Macaca fascicularis: one gene and its partners. The protein of the gene in region 3 binds, or shares a complex with, the protein of the main gene of each other region. Links are inferred from orthologs where the notes say so. Each region holds a gene or a part of one and is shown on either strand. Other genes may lie near its edges. The genes, in order: FRS2, NTF4 and NTRK2.

Region 1 (4,316 bases), on a different chromosome or scaffold from region 3:
ATGACTAACCTCTAGCACCTCTGCATGCCACACAGAGCCTGGTAATGTCTGTGATTCAGGATTCCTCTCACTATCCCTTTAGGCCTTGAGTAAAAAGAGATGTCGGTGAGTCCTGCCAACCTACGCTGTTTTTTACTTCTTCACACCCTGAGGCACAAAAGGTTGCTTGAATTTGAGTGTTACAGAAATATTTGCAAACACTTCTGCGATCACTAAAATAAAATAAATAAGACAGCCCTGTAAATAAAGCCAAGAGCAATGGCATTGTTTGCATCTTAAATTTGTAGTAATGGGTTTTCACATTTTTTCATTTCCCCTGCCTTTCATAGTAGAAAAATTTAAAAATCTCGTCCCCCCCGCCGTATCAAGAGATGTTAGTACATTTGTTTTGCAGATAGTATGCATGTTAAGAGGCTTTTTTTTTTTTCTTTCCCTGCATCCCAGATACAGAATCTGCCTCAGTTATCTGGTGCCTTTCTCATTTTGTGGCTGAGGAATCCTCCCCTCCTCCTTTCCGTCCCCTTTCCCTGTCTGATATGTAACTCTGTGGGACCTCATGCTATCTCTGCACGGCGTTTCCCAAGCACCTGCATTTTTCCCGTTGTAAAAACCTCTACTCTTTCTTATTTCCTTAACTAATCTTTTCTATTGCCTATTGCTAATGAGGTATAAGAATCGTTGACTTTTATCCAGTGCCAGACACTGAAATGTTTATCATGCATTATCATTTTGGATTCCTACAATACAGAGATGATTTTGTAACTTGCCAGGGTGAAAAAATAAAAGCAAATAAAAGGAGACAAGCGAAAAGACTCCAGGTCCCCACCCCAACCCCTCCACCCTAGCTCTAGCCTCTGTTGAACTCGCCAGTGATGACAGAATATAGGAATATAGTTTGAGTCCTGTCTTAAATAATTTAAAAATCTTGTTATAGGTAGGTGAGATTTATACACACATGAATTAAAATCAAGCAGCCAACGTTTGTGATGTTGGGTTTGGTATCTTTGACCGTTTTTCTCCCCTGCAAGATGTAGATAACAGCACCAACCCCAAGGAGTTTGGGGATGATTAAATAAGTTAATGCACCTGAAGGGACTTAATAGTGCCTACCACGTAGTAAGCGTTCAATAAGTGTTAACTATTATCATTATTTTTTAAAGGAGGCAGATTGGAGCGTAGAATACACTGAAGGGAGTCGGGAGGCCGGGTGTATGCGCTGGATTCTTGCACGTAAATTCTCAGAGCCTCGGTTTCCTTATTTGTAAAATTAGGTGGCCGGAGTAAAACAACTCGAACAGCAGTTAAAGCAAAGGGTGCAGCAGCAGCCGGGGAACCGAGGAGGCACGGGGCGGAAAGGGTTAGCTAGAGCCCAAAGGCTGATTTCTGGGCGCCGGGCGAGAGAGTCCCCGCCCCGCCTGGAGGCCCTGGCAGCTCCGGGCTGAGAGCAGTTCCGGTGCCAAAACCCTTCCCTCCCCCGCTCCCCCGGAAGTGCTTTTCCAGGATTCAGGCCGGAGAGAGGCCTTGTAGGCACAGCGGCTGAGACTCGATCTGCTCCAAGTAGGGGCTCCAGCCCGGTCGGAGTCTGGGGGTTCGCGCCCGCCGACCCGCGCTCTGCTCCCTCTCAGCACCTGGGCCGACGGTGAGTGGCTAGGGAAACGGACTGGGACGGCCGCGGGCCCGCGTCAGGCTGGCGTTTTCGTGCCCCTGCTGCCCGCTTCGGGATCCGGGCTGAGGGCTCGGCTGCCGGCGTCCGGGGAAGGGGATTGTCGACCGCCGCGGAGTTCTCCGAGCCAGCGGGACGGGAAGAAGAGGGCTGTGGGTCCATGGGGTGGGCGGGGCGGAGCCAGTAAGGGGGTTCCCAGAGCTGTTGTTGCTGTTGGGACTCGGGAGTGGGGATGGGCTGGGCCTCCGTCCGTCCGACCCCCTCATGTGTGCTCCCCCAAACCTCGCCGCTCCCCAGTTTGGTATTCTGTGTCTGGCCTGGGGTAGTAGCTGGACCTGAGGCTCAATCTTGGGCTCAAGTTCCCGACGTTTCGTCTCCTCTGGGTCTGTCCCGGGCTCAGTAATTAACCCGGGTCCCCGGGGTGTCGTCTTTTCACTCCAGGGTGGGGCGCTGCCTCTAAATGCCAGGGATCTTTTGCAGGGCTTTTCGTACAGATTTGCTTCTGGGTTGTCCGGGATCGATTTGGACTGGGCTTGGAAGCGGTTCTGGATACGTAGGTCGCTGTGGCACCAGCATGCTCTGTATCATCTTTACTCACTTGAAAGCTCACTGAAGCTGTTATTGAAGTAAACTTTAAAAAAAAAAAAAAACTTGCTTAAGGAAAATCCGTAGTTTAGACACCCCCCCCCCCGCCTTTTTTTGCAGACATATTAAAAAAAATAAAGATGCTGTTCTCTTCTCTGCACTGTTAATTCTTTTGGCTATCTGATGTCACAGTTGTATGATGAGTTCATTCAGAGGCTATACGAATTGATTGCAAAGAGTTGGACAATTATTATATCCTTTCTCCCAAAGTTTGTTTACCTTCATATTTGGAACTGTCATATTTCTTAAAGAAAAATTGTTCTTGGATTTTCTTGAGAGATTCCTTACACTGTTAAAATTGTTGCTGCAATGCAGAATTTCACACAGGTGGGCAGAGATGTTTTGTTTGTTTAAACTTATTCCGTGAAGTGTTTACTTCGGATAAACTGAGGATTTCCTAGGGGAGAAAGTGATGTAGGTACGTTTAGTGAACAGAATTTAGGTAATAAACTTTACTGCTGAAAGGTTTGTAGGAAATAACGGGTTTTCCACAATAAATGGTGATTTAAGAACTTTTTATAAGGGAATGCAGTTACTGCAGATTATTGCTATTAGCAGATGGCCACTGTTTTTGCAGCGTAAAGTATACACAAATCACCTTCTTGAAACCAGTGACACTATCTGCACCTCTTATCTTGTGTGTAGATTAGGATTTATACTGTAATTTTTTGGGTACTTATGTCATTCTCTTTCCTCCCACCCCTGAAAGGGGAGGTGGTGTCATGAATCAGGAAAAATAGACTGAAGTGACAAGTTCAGTGAGCTTTCCTATGCAAAGGAAAATTTATTTCAAGGTTGTTGATTTTGAAGAGGCAAAGGGTAGATGATTTTTAAAGTCCTTGGAAAAAATTGTGGAGAGATTAGCTGCACAACTTTTCTTTTTCCTTTTCTTTTCTTTACCTTCCTTTTCTTTTTTCTTTTTCGAGACAGCCTCATTCTGCTGCCCAGGCTGCAGCGCAATGGCACCATCATAGCTCACTGCAGCCTCCAACTCCTGGACTCAAGCAATCCTTCTGTCTCAGACTCCTGAGTGGCTAGGGGCACCAACCACCACACCTGGCTAATTTTTTTTTTTTCAGTAGAGCCGAGGTTTCACTATGTTGCCAGGCTGGTCTTGAACTCCTGGGCTCAAGTGACCCTCCCATCTCGGCCTTCCAAAGTGCTGGGGTTACTATTGTGAGCCACCATGCCCAGCCTATTTGCACAACTTTTAAATTTAGATAGAAACTGTAGATTCAACATGTGAAGTACTTAATTATTTAGAGCATAATATTGGAATTGAGAGAATCTGGAAAAATAGTTAAGTTAGGTGTAGTTACAGATTTGCAGGTACGACAGTGTGTTTTGAAGGGAAATATTTCAAGAGATTTAAGAGCAGAGAAAGGTGGGGAAAATCAGATACTGATTGTATTTTTATATTATACAAGTCAATTCAACAGATACTGAGCATTTGCTGTGCATCAAGCTAGTTAGGCAATAAAGGAGCAAATAAAGGTACAGGCATAACAGGTGAGCTTCATGTTTTGGTAATAATTTCTGAAATCATGAAGAGTTGAGTTGTATTCTTTAGGCATACTAAAAATTTTTTTTAAATTGGGACTTAACTTTGGCGATGGGTGTTGAGTGCTTAATGAAAAGTGCTATACTAGGCATTTTAGGATATAAAGATTAAATTTTTGGTTTTTAGAAATTTGAAATCTAGAAGGAGATATGAGATTTGTGTAAACATTTACAACGTAAACATTTGTAAATACTTACGTGGGTGGTTTAAGGTAAAGTTTGGAGTAAATTACACAAAAGAAGAAAGGGTTCATTTTTAGCTTGAGTAATGGAAATTTGTGGAGATAGCTCAGAAGCTACTATTTATTCAGCATTTACTGAACAGACTCAATGCTAGTTGCTGTTTACAACATTTTCTTAGCTTCACAGCAATATGTAAGTAGCTTAATGATGAGGACAGTGAGGCTGAAATATGTTAAGTTACTTGCCTGGGCTATGTGGCTAGCAG
Region 2 (4,150 bases), on a different chromosome or scaffold from region 3:
AGGACTAGAAGCTAGAAGCTAGAGTCTAGAGTCCTCCTGCTATGGGGCAGGATGTATTGGGTGTTTAGGAACAGGGAAATGTGGAGAAGCCAGAGAGGTGACCCGAACACACACCCAAAGCCTGGGAAGTGGCCCTTCCCCCCACCAATAAATAACTGTGAGGAGCAGGAAACACCCTAACCGGGGACACCCTCCTGCCACCTTGCCATGCTATATTTAGGCTGAGGGGGTGTGGGATGACCCCTGAGGCAGGTGTCAATTTTCCTTCTGAAAATAGCACAGGCAGAGGGAGGCAGAGTCTCAGGGTGGAGGTGTGGTGGGGTGAGGAGCCCGGCTGCCCTCATGACTGTCCTGAGACGCTCTAGCTCCGATCCCATCCCTGTCTTTCTGAGGGTCTCTCAGGGGCTCTGTCCCCTTCTCCGGAGGGTCTGCCCTCAGTCTCTCTGGGCCTCTGTCTTCTCTCTGGGCTTCTGCCCTCCCCCACTCTCTCTAGTCTTGATCCCCCTCTTTCTTTTGGTCTCTCCCCACTTTTCCATGCCTTCATCTGTCACCGCGCACCATTTCTGGAAGGAGCTGATTGTTCTTAAGACACATCTGTCTATCTCTGGGTCCTATAATACCTTGCATGTCTCTTATCTGAGCTCAGGACAAGACCCTCTCCCCGGTCCCCATCCAGGAAATTCCAGGGGAGAGGAGTATGCGGGAGCCCCCACATCCACTGTCTCCCCGGGCCTGGGGCCTTATCACTGCCCAAGCCCAGCTGGTTAATGTCTGGCGTGGAGCTCCTGGGAAGTGGGGAGGAGAGCAGAGAGTGGGAATCTGCCCCGGGATTGACACGCAATTGGCAAAAGACGGCAAAGGAATCTCAGGCCCAGACTCCTGGGGCTAATGGAGGAGGAGGCTGGGGGCTGGACTCCTGAGTCTGAGACGGGGCGGGGTTGGGAGGTGGTGGGGGGAACTGTGGGCTTAGTACTCAGGCGCCTGGGGCTCGGGGGAGAAGTGGCTGGGGTCGCAAGTCCCGGGTCTGAGGGAGGAGGGGCTGGATGCCTGGACTCCTGGGTCTGAGGGAGGAGGGGCTGGGGACCTGGACTACTAGGTCTAAAGGAGGAGGCAGCTGGAGACTGGGACTCCTGTGACCAATGCGGCCGGGTTGAACGAGCCAGGCCTGGCTTCCAAGGTCCCGGCACGCCTGTGCAAGGCAGGATCCCCCGGCCCCTCCTCTGCCGTCCGGCGCCGCCCCGCCCCCGCCCCCGACCCGGGCCCTGCCGAGAGTGAGCAGGGAGCAGCCGGCGGGCCAGCGAGCGTCCCTGCAGCCAGCGAGCAGGAGGAGGAGCTGCTGCTGGGGCGAGGGCAGCTGGGGGAGCCGAAGAGGGCGCCCCAGGTAAGAGCTCCGCGCCTCCTCCCCCGGGATTCCGGCGTCCTGGTCGCCCTGCCCTCGGGTGGGGAGGGACGGGGGCGGGGCCGACGGGGGCGGGGCTTGGCTGAGGAAACTGAGGCAGGAGGGAAGTGTCCCAGATACGCAGCCGGTTTCCCCTGAGGGGTCTCAGGAGTCCAGACCCCCCACCCAAATCTGGAGGATGAGGAACCCGGAGTCTGCATTTCTTAGTACCCGAGAAGGAGGAGCCTGAATTCCAGAACTCCTGGGTCTGAGAGAGGAGGGCGCTGGGAGCCTGGATTCCTGGGTCTGAGGGAGAAGGGCGCTGGGGGCATGGACTCCTGGGTCTGAGGGAGGAGGGCGCTGGGGGCATGGACTCCTGGGTCTGAGGGAGGAGGGCGCTGGGGGCATGGACTCCTGGGTCTGAGGGAGGAGGGCGCTGGGGGCCTGGACTCCTAGGTCTGAGGGAGAAGGGTGCTGGGGGCATGGACTCCTGGGTCTGAGGGAGGAGGGCGCTGGGGGCCTGGATTCCTAGGTCTGAGGGAGGAGGGCGCTGGGGGCATGGACTCCTGGGTCTGAGGGAGGAGGGCGCTGGGGGCCTGGACTCCTAGGTCTGAGGGAGAAGGGTGCTGGGGGCATGGACTCCTGGGTCTGAAGGAGGAGGGCGCTGGGGGCCTGGATTCTTCGGTCTGAGGGAGAAGGGTGCTGGGGGCATGGACTCCTGGGTCTGAGGGAGGAGGGCGCTGGGGGCCTGGATTCTTCGGTCTGAGGGAGAAGGGTGCTGGGGGCATGGACTCCTGGGTCTGAGGGAGGAGGGTGCTGGGGGCATGGACTCCTGGGTCTGAGGGAGGAGGGCGCTGGGGGCCTGGATTCCTGGGTCTGAGGGAGAAGGGTGCTGGGGGCATGGACTCCTGGGTCTGAGGGAGAAGGGTGCTGGGGGCATGGACTCCTGGGTCTGAAGGAGGAGGGCGCTGGGGGCCTGGACTCCTAGGTCTGAGGGAGAAGGGTGCTGGGGGCCTGGACTCCTAGGTCTGAGGGAGAAGGGTGCTGGGGGCCTGGTCCTGGACTCCTCCTGGGTCTGAGGGAGGAGGGGCTGGGGGCCTGGATTCCTCCTGGGTCTGAGGGAGGAGGGCGCTGGGGATCTGAACTCCTGGGTCTGAAGGTGGAGGCCCTGGGGTGTGAAGGAGAAGGCAGTCCTGGTTGGGTCAGCCTGGGCTCCTTTCACTCTCCACCCTTCCCCTTTCCTGTACCGAGGAGCCAGGGCAGGCAGTCACTCCAGGTATGTGCAGAAGTCTTGGGCGGGCCCTGGCCTGTCCTGTGAGGAGGGAACATTCCAGGAAGCAGCTTGGGGAACCAGGGCTTCTTGAGTGTGGGCCCTCAGGGACCCAGGTGTCCAGGTCAGTTCCGCCCCCTCTGGGAGATGAATGGGCCGAGGGGGATGTCATCTCTTCCAGCCTGCTTCATCCACTGCCTCTCCCTTCCCCTCTTCTCCCCTCCCCTCCCTCCATCTGCTTCCCATCCCAGCCAGGAGCCATCACCTGGGTAGAAAAGGGGCCTCTGGAAAGGGGGCGGGGCCTTGACTCTTGGGTACCCTGAACTTCAAGAGGAACTCTGGGGAGGGGGTGTTCAGGGATTTGACCCCTCCCCCACTTGCCTCTATAACCTGTCTATTCCTTTCTTCCCCTAGGTGGTTGCCCCCTCCCTCTCCTGAGATGTCAGGAAGGAGGGGGCCACCTGTGTCCTCCACAGGGGCCCCCCGAAGCCTGGGGACTCCCAGCCCCAGAGCTCCGAGGTGGAGGAGGTGCTGACAGGTCTGGTAACCACTGACTGTTTCCCAGTCTTCTCCACACCACCCTTTCCCAGAACCACAGGCTTCCAGAATGTTGTAGAGAAACTGCAACATCCAAGCCTCCACCAGCCTCTCCCAGCGCCAGGTCAATTTCACACACGGGAAAACTGAAGCCTGTCTCAGAGGGGCAGCGTTTTCCCTCCTTAGTGGCAGTTTTGAGGTGCAATGGGGTCTCCCTAGGATTCCAGGTTGTGGCCTTTCTCCAAATTGTAGAATGTGGCCAGGCATGGTGGCTTGAGTCTGTAGTCCCGGCTACTCAGGAGCCACAGCAGGAGGATTGCTTGAGCCCAGGAGTTCAAGTGCAGCGGGGAAATATAGCGAGACCTGGTCTTAAAACAATTTGTGGCCGGGGTGCGGTGGCTCACGCCTGTAATCCCAGCATTTTGGGAGGCCGAGGCGGGAGGATCACGAGATCAGGAGATCGAGACCATCTTGGCTAACATGGTGAAACCCCATCTCTACTAAAAAAAATACACAAAAAATTAGCCGGGCGTGGTGGCGGGCATCTGTAGTCCCAGCTACTCGGAAGGCTGAGGCAGGAGAATGGCGTGAACCCGGGAGGCGGAGCTTGCAGTGAGCCAAGATCGCGCCACTGCACTCCAGCCTGGGTGACAGAGCGAGACTCCGTCTCAAAAAAAAAAAAAAAAAAAAAAACAATTTGTTTGGGACCAGGTGCCATGGCTCATGCCTGTAATCCCAGCACTTGGGGAGGCCAGAGTAGGAGTATCACTTGAGGTTGGGAGTTCAAGACCACTCTGACCAACATGGCGAAACCCCATCTCTACTAAAAATACAAAAATTAGCTGAAAAACTGTGGCAGGCACTTTTAATCCCACCTACTCAAAAGGCTGAGGCAGGAGGAGAATCCCTTGAATCCAGGAGGCAGACATTACTGTAAGCCATGATTGAGCCACTGCACTCCAGCC
Region 3 (2,950 bases):
AATTGCCAGGAGCAATTTCATCGTCTGTAGGCTAGAGGAGCCACCATGAGTCCTGAGTTCTTTATGGTTTGCTCACGCAATTAAATGGCACCGGACGTGTGTAGATGTTTTCTAAACTATATGGTACATTCCAATTATGGTTTCAGAGAATGGCAAGGAGACTAGAGATGCTTTATTCTAGGGGTTAACAATCTTTGAAAATGTGTGTGCCAAAGTGCCCAGCCTTTTCTGGCACATAAACAAAAGGGTCATTTGCCTAGCTCTGCAAGGTGGCAGCAGCATCTTTGAATGGTCCAAAGCAGTCCTCTCCTTGCCACTGCCATGTGGGCTGCCCAGACCTGGTGGGATCATTCTACCCTCATACTGCAAGTCCTCCCAAGCATCTGGAAACATCAGCAGATTCCCTCTCCCAAAGTCCTAGGTACCCAGGGGTCACAGAGTTATGAATAGGGCAGATATTCACCAAGCCAGAAATGCGCTGAGATAGCTGTACCCATGTTTACCACCCACATCCTTTCTGGTTGGTCAGTGTCTGTGCAGTTTGAGTATCGACCCTGAGGGTGACTGTTGCCACCACCTTCAGACATGAGGTAAGACCATAAGAGAAGTCTCTGTCTATTAAACACTGATGACCTGTCACTGCTGAAGGAAGAGAGAGGAAATCTAACACCAATGAAAACCAACTTAGCCTTTATGAGCTTTATGTTTATTAAAAGCTGAATAGTAAAGATGGTCACCTGAGCCAGTAGTTTTTGTCCCTATTTGTCAAATTTGGATGCATCATACAGAGAAGAATGAAATAAAATACCCTCCTCCTTTTGTACTCTTGTGCTTTCTTTGGTGCTAAGAACATCACTGGGAATCACCAAGCGTGTTAGACATCTCTGACACTTCAGCCTCTTAGGTTCTGGGGTAGGGGAATATTTTTCAGGTACTGTTAGTTTATTTTCTTCCTTTAATAAATACTAACTGGATATTGAGGATTAGAATTGGGCAGAAACTCTATGCACCATTACTCTATAAACTCAGGACCCAGAGTTGTTACAGAGGTCCAACTTTTTGCTGTAGGATAAGCCCACCTGCTCTCAGGTGTCAAGCACACTGTGTAGCCTGGTGGTGCTGGGGGGTTACCAGGATGAAAAGCGGAACTTACCAGCCACAGGACTACTGTGCAGAAATCTGTTCATGGGTTTGAAATCAGGCATCCCTGACAAACCCGGAAATGAGCTTCTTAACTTTCCTCCACGAAGTAGAAAGTCATATACAATTTTACTTTGTCAAAGAAAGTTTTCTTTGCCTGTACTAATGCAATTGCTATCTGATGCCCCAGTCTTGGTGTTTTCATTAAAGTGGGCATTTAAAAAAATGTATTTATCTATTGTGGTAAATAATCTAAGGAGCAGTGCCCTGTAATAGAGGAAAGTCCTGAGCTTAGAATCCAAAGACCTGAGTTTTTGTGTCTGTAAGCAATCTGAATCTCATTGCCTTATCTGTAGAAGGAGAATAATAATGCCTGACCTGCCTATCGCTGAGTGATGATGGAGGGGTTTGAGTCAGCATCATGTACACATAAGACCTGAAGGCAGAAGGAGGCTCTAGCCTTGCCAAGGAAGTAGAGTCACTGGTTGGTCATTTTGGATGCAGAGCCCCTTTTCGTTCTCCTGGTCAAAGTGATCTTGTTAATTAGAAGATTGAGTCATCCTCCTAGCAGAAAGTGCATGTATGTGTGTGTAGTTTTATTTATCCAAGGTGATCATCTACCTAATCATCATCCCTGCTCCTATCTGGTTTTGAGAGAAAGAATTGCAAATAATATATTTTTAAATGATTTGGATCACTCTTTGCCCTCTGTCTCTGTTGCTTGAGACTATGAAGAAATCATATATCCCTTATGTGTTTATAAACAATTAAAACTATAAAGTGCAAATAAGGAAAGCAAGCAGTGTCCCCCAGCATCTCCCTTCCACACCTGGTTTTGGAGTGACTGATGCCTCCCTGTTGATCCCTTTCTCTCCAGGTCGGTGGCCACACGATGCTGCCCATTCGTTGGATGCCTCCAGAGAGCATCATGTACAGGAAATTCACGACAGAAAGTGACGTCTGGAGCCTGGGGGTCGTGTTGTGGGAGATCTTCACCTACGGCAAACAGCCCTGGTACCAGCTGTCAAACAACGAGGTGTGCAATGGGTCTGGCCAAGACCCTCCAAAGGGCTGAGATCCCAGAGGCTTCCATCAGCTGGGGCCTTGTTTTGGGTTGGAAGACCATGTCAGGACGTTATCTTATGGGGTTTTGTTGGCGGCAGCACTTCCCATGTAGCCTGCTATGTTTCTAAATTTCATGGTCAAAGTATAGTCACTCTGAGAAAGCAAAGCACAGCACTCGCTGATATGTCCTTGCCCCTCTGGTGGTGGGACTGAGGAGTCACTTTATGCAGCTCATCTGATAAATTAATAGCAGATGTAGCATTCCAGAACCCATACAGTCCAGCAAGTTCTTTAGTATTGTTCCAACGAAGTTTCAAGGTCCTTTCCCTTTTGAATATTTCACCAGAACATTAACTTCTAGTGAAAAACTCAAACGTTTTGTTTTTTCTATTCTTACTCTTGCAAATATGTTTATATTTGAGGCACAACTTCTTGGTCAGGCACCCCACATCTTTTCCAGATCCATGTCTGTCTTTTTAATCCAGTTCCTTTATCCAATAGCCTGCGAGGTTTCCTGTCAGTCAGTGCCTTAACACACAAGTGACTCGTGTTCCATCTCAGACCAATAAAAACCACAACATGCGGGAGCTCCAGTGTGAGGTTTGGGAGCATTCCATATAAATTACTTTTCCACCAGTTTTGTGAAATCAGAGTGGCTTGGAAAAATGGATATAAGCCAATCAAATTAAACACAACATAAACTAACCTATAATAATTGTTCTCTTCCTTCTGAGAAAATGAAACC

The links.
Region 1: the proteins of NTRK2 (region 3) and FRS2 are in contact, whole or in part, in an NMR structure (PDB 2MFQ), measured with the Homo sapiens proteins. The link is inferred for Macaca fascicularis from reciprocal best matches to the Homo sapiens genes NTRK2 and FRS2. Residues at the interface, in NP_001018074.1 of Homo sapiens: Pro498, Asp499, Val501, Ile503, Gly504, Met505, Thr506, Lys507, Ile508, Pro509, Val510, Ile511, Glu512, Asn513, Pro514, Gln515, Tyr516, Gly518, Ile519; in NP_001036020.1 of Homo sapiens: Val26, Asp27, Asp28, Asp29, Gly30, Tyr59, Leu60, Cys61, Leu62, Arg63, Arg64, Tyr65, Gly66, Tyr67, Asp68, Ser69, Asn70, Leu71, Phe72, Ser73, Gly77, Arg78, Ile86, Ala88, Lys90, Phe98, Gln102, Met105, Gln106, Ser109.
Region 2: the proteins of NTRK2 (region 3) and NTF4 are in contact, whole or in part, in a crystal structure (PDB 1HCF), measured with the Homo sapiens proteins. The link is inferred for Macaca fascicularis from reciprocal best matches to the Homo sapiens genes NTRK2 and NTF4. Residues at the interface, in NP_001018074.1 of Homo sapiens: Phe291, Glu293, Thr296, Ser297, Asp298, His299, Cys302, Pro304, Thr306, His335, Val336, His343, Gly344, Cys345, Asn350, Thr352, His353, Met379, Gly380, Trp381, Pro382, Gly383; in NP_001382418.1 of Homo sapiens: Gly81, Val82, Ser83, Glu84, Thr85, Ala86, Ser89, Arg90, Arg91, Gly92, Glu93, Leu94, Ala95, Asp98, Ala99, Ser101, Gly102, Trp103, Thr105, Tyr135, Phe137.

What each region holds. Positions count from the first base shown.
Region 1 is NC_088385.1:76,244,780-76,249,095, forward strand, and holds the start of FRS2 (fibroblast growth factor receptor substrate 2), read left to right. Parts: upstream 1-1,498; 5' UTR 1,499-1,639; intron 1,640-4,316. UniProt on the Homo sapiens protein: Adapter protein that links activated FGR and NGF receptors to downstream signaling pathways.
Region 2 is NC_088393.1:57,038,707-57,042,856, reverse strand, and holds the start of NTF4 (neurotrophin-4), read left to right. Parts: upstream 1-1,261; 5' UTR 1,262-1,381; intron 1,382-2,705; exon of another isoform or gene 2,706-2,772; intron 2,773-3,057; exon of another isoform or gene 3,058-3,062; 5' UTR 3,063-3,186; exon of another isoform or gene 3,187-3,309; intron 3,310-4,150. UniProt on the Homo sapiens protein: Target-derived survival factor for peripheral sensory sympathetic neurons. May promote ameloblast differentiation and subsequent reduction in proliferation of ameloblasts.
Region 3 is NC_088389.1:115,652,868-115,655,817, forward strand, and holds part of NTRK2 (BDNF/NT-3 growth factors receptor), read left to right. Parts: intron 1-2,017; coding exon 2,018-2,176; intron 2,177-2,950. UniProt on the Homo sapiens protein: Receptor tyrosine kinase involved in the development and the maturation of the central and the peripheral nervous systems through regulation of neuron survival, proliferation, migration, differentiation, and synapse formation and plasticity.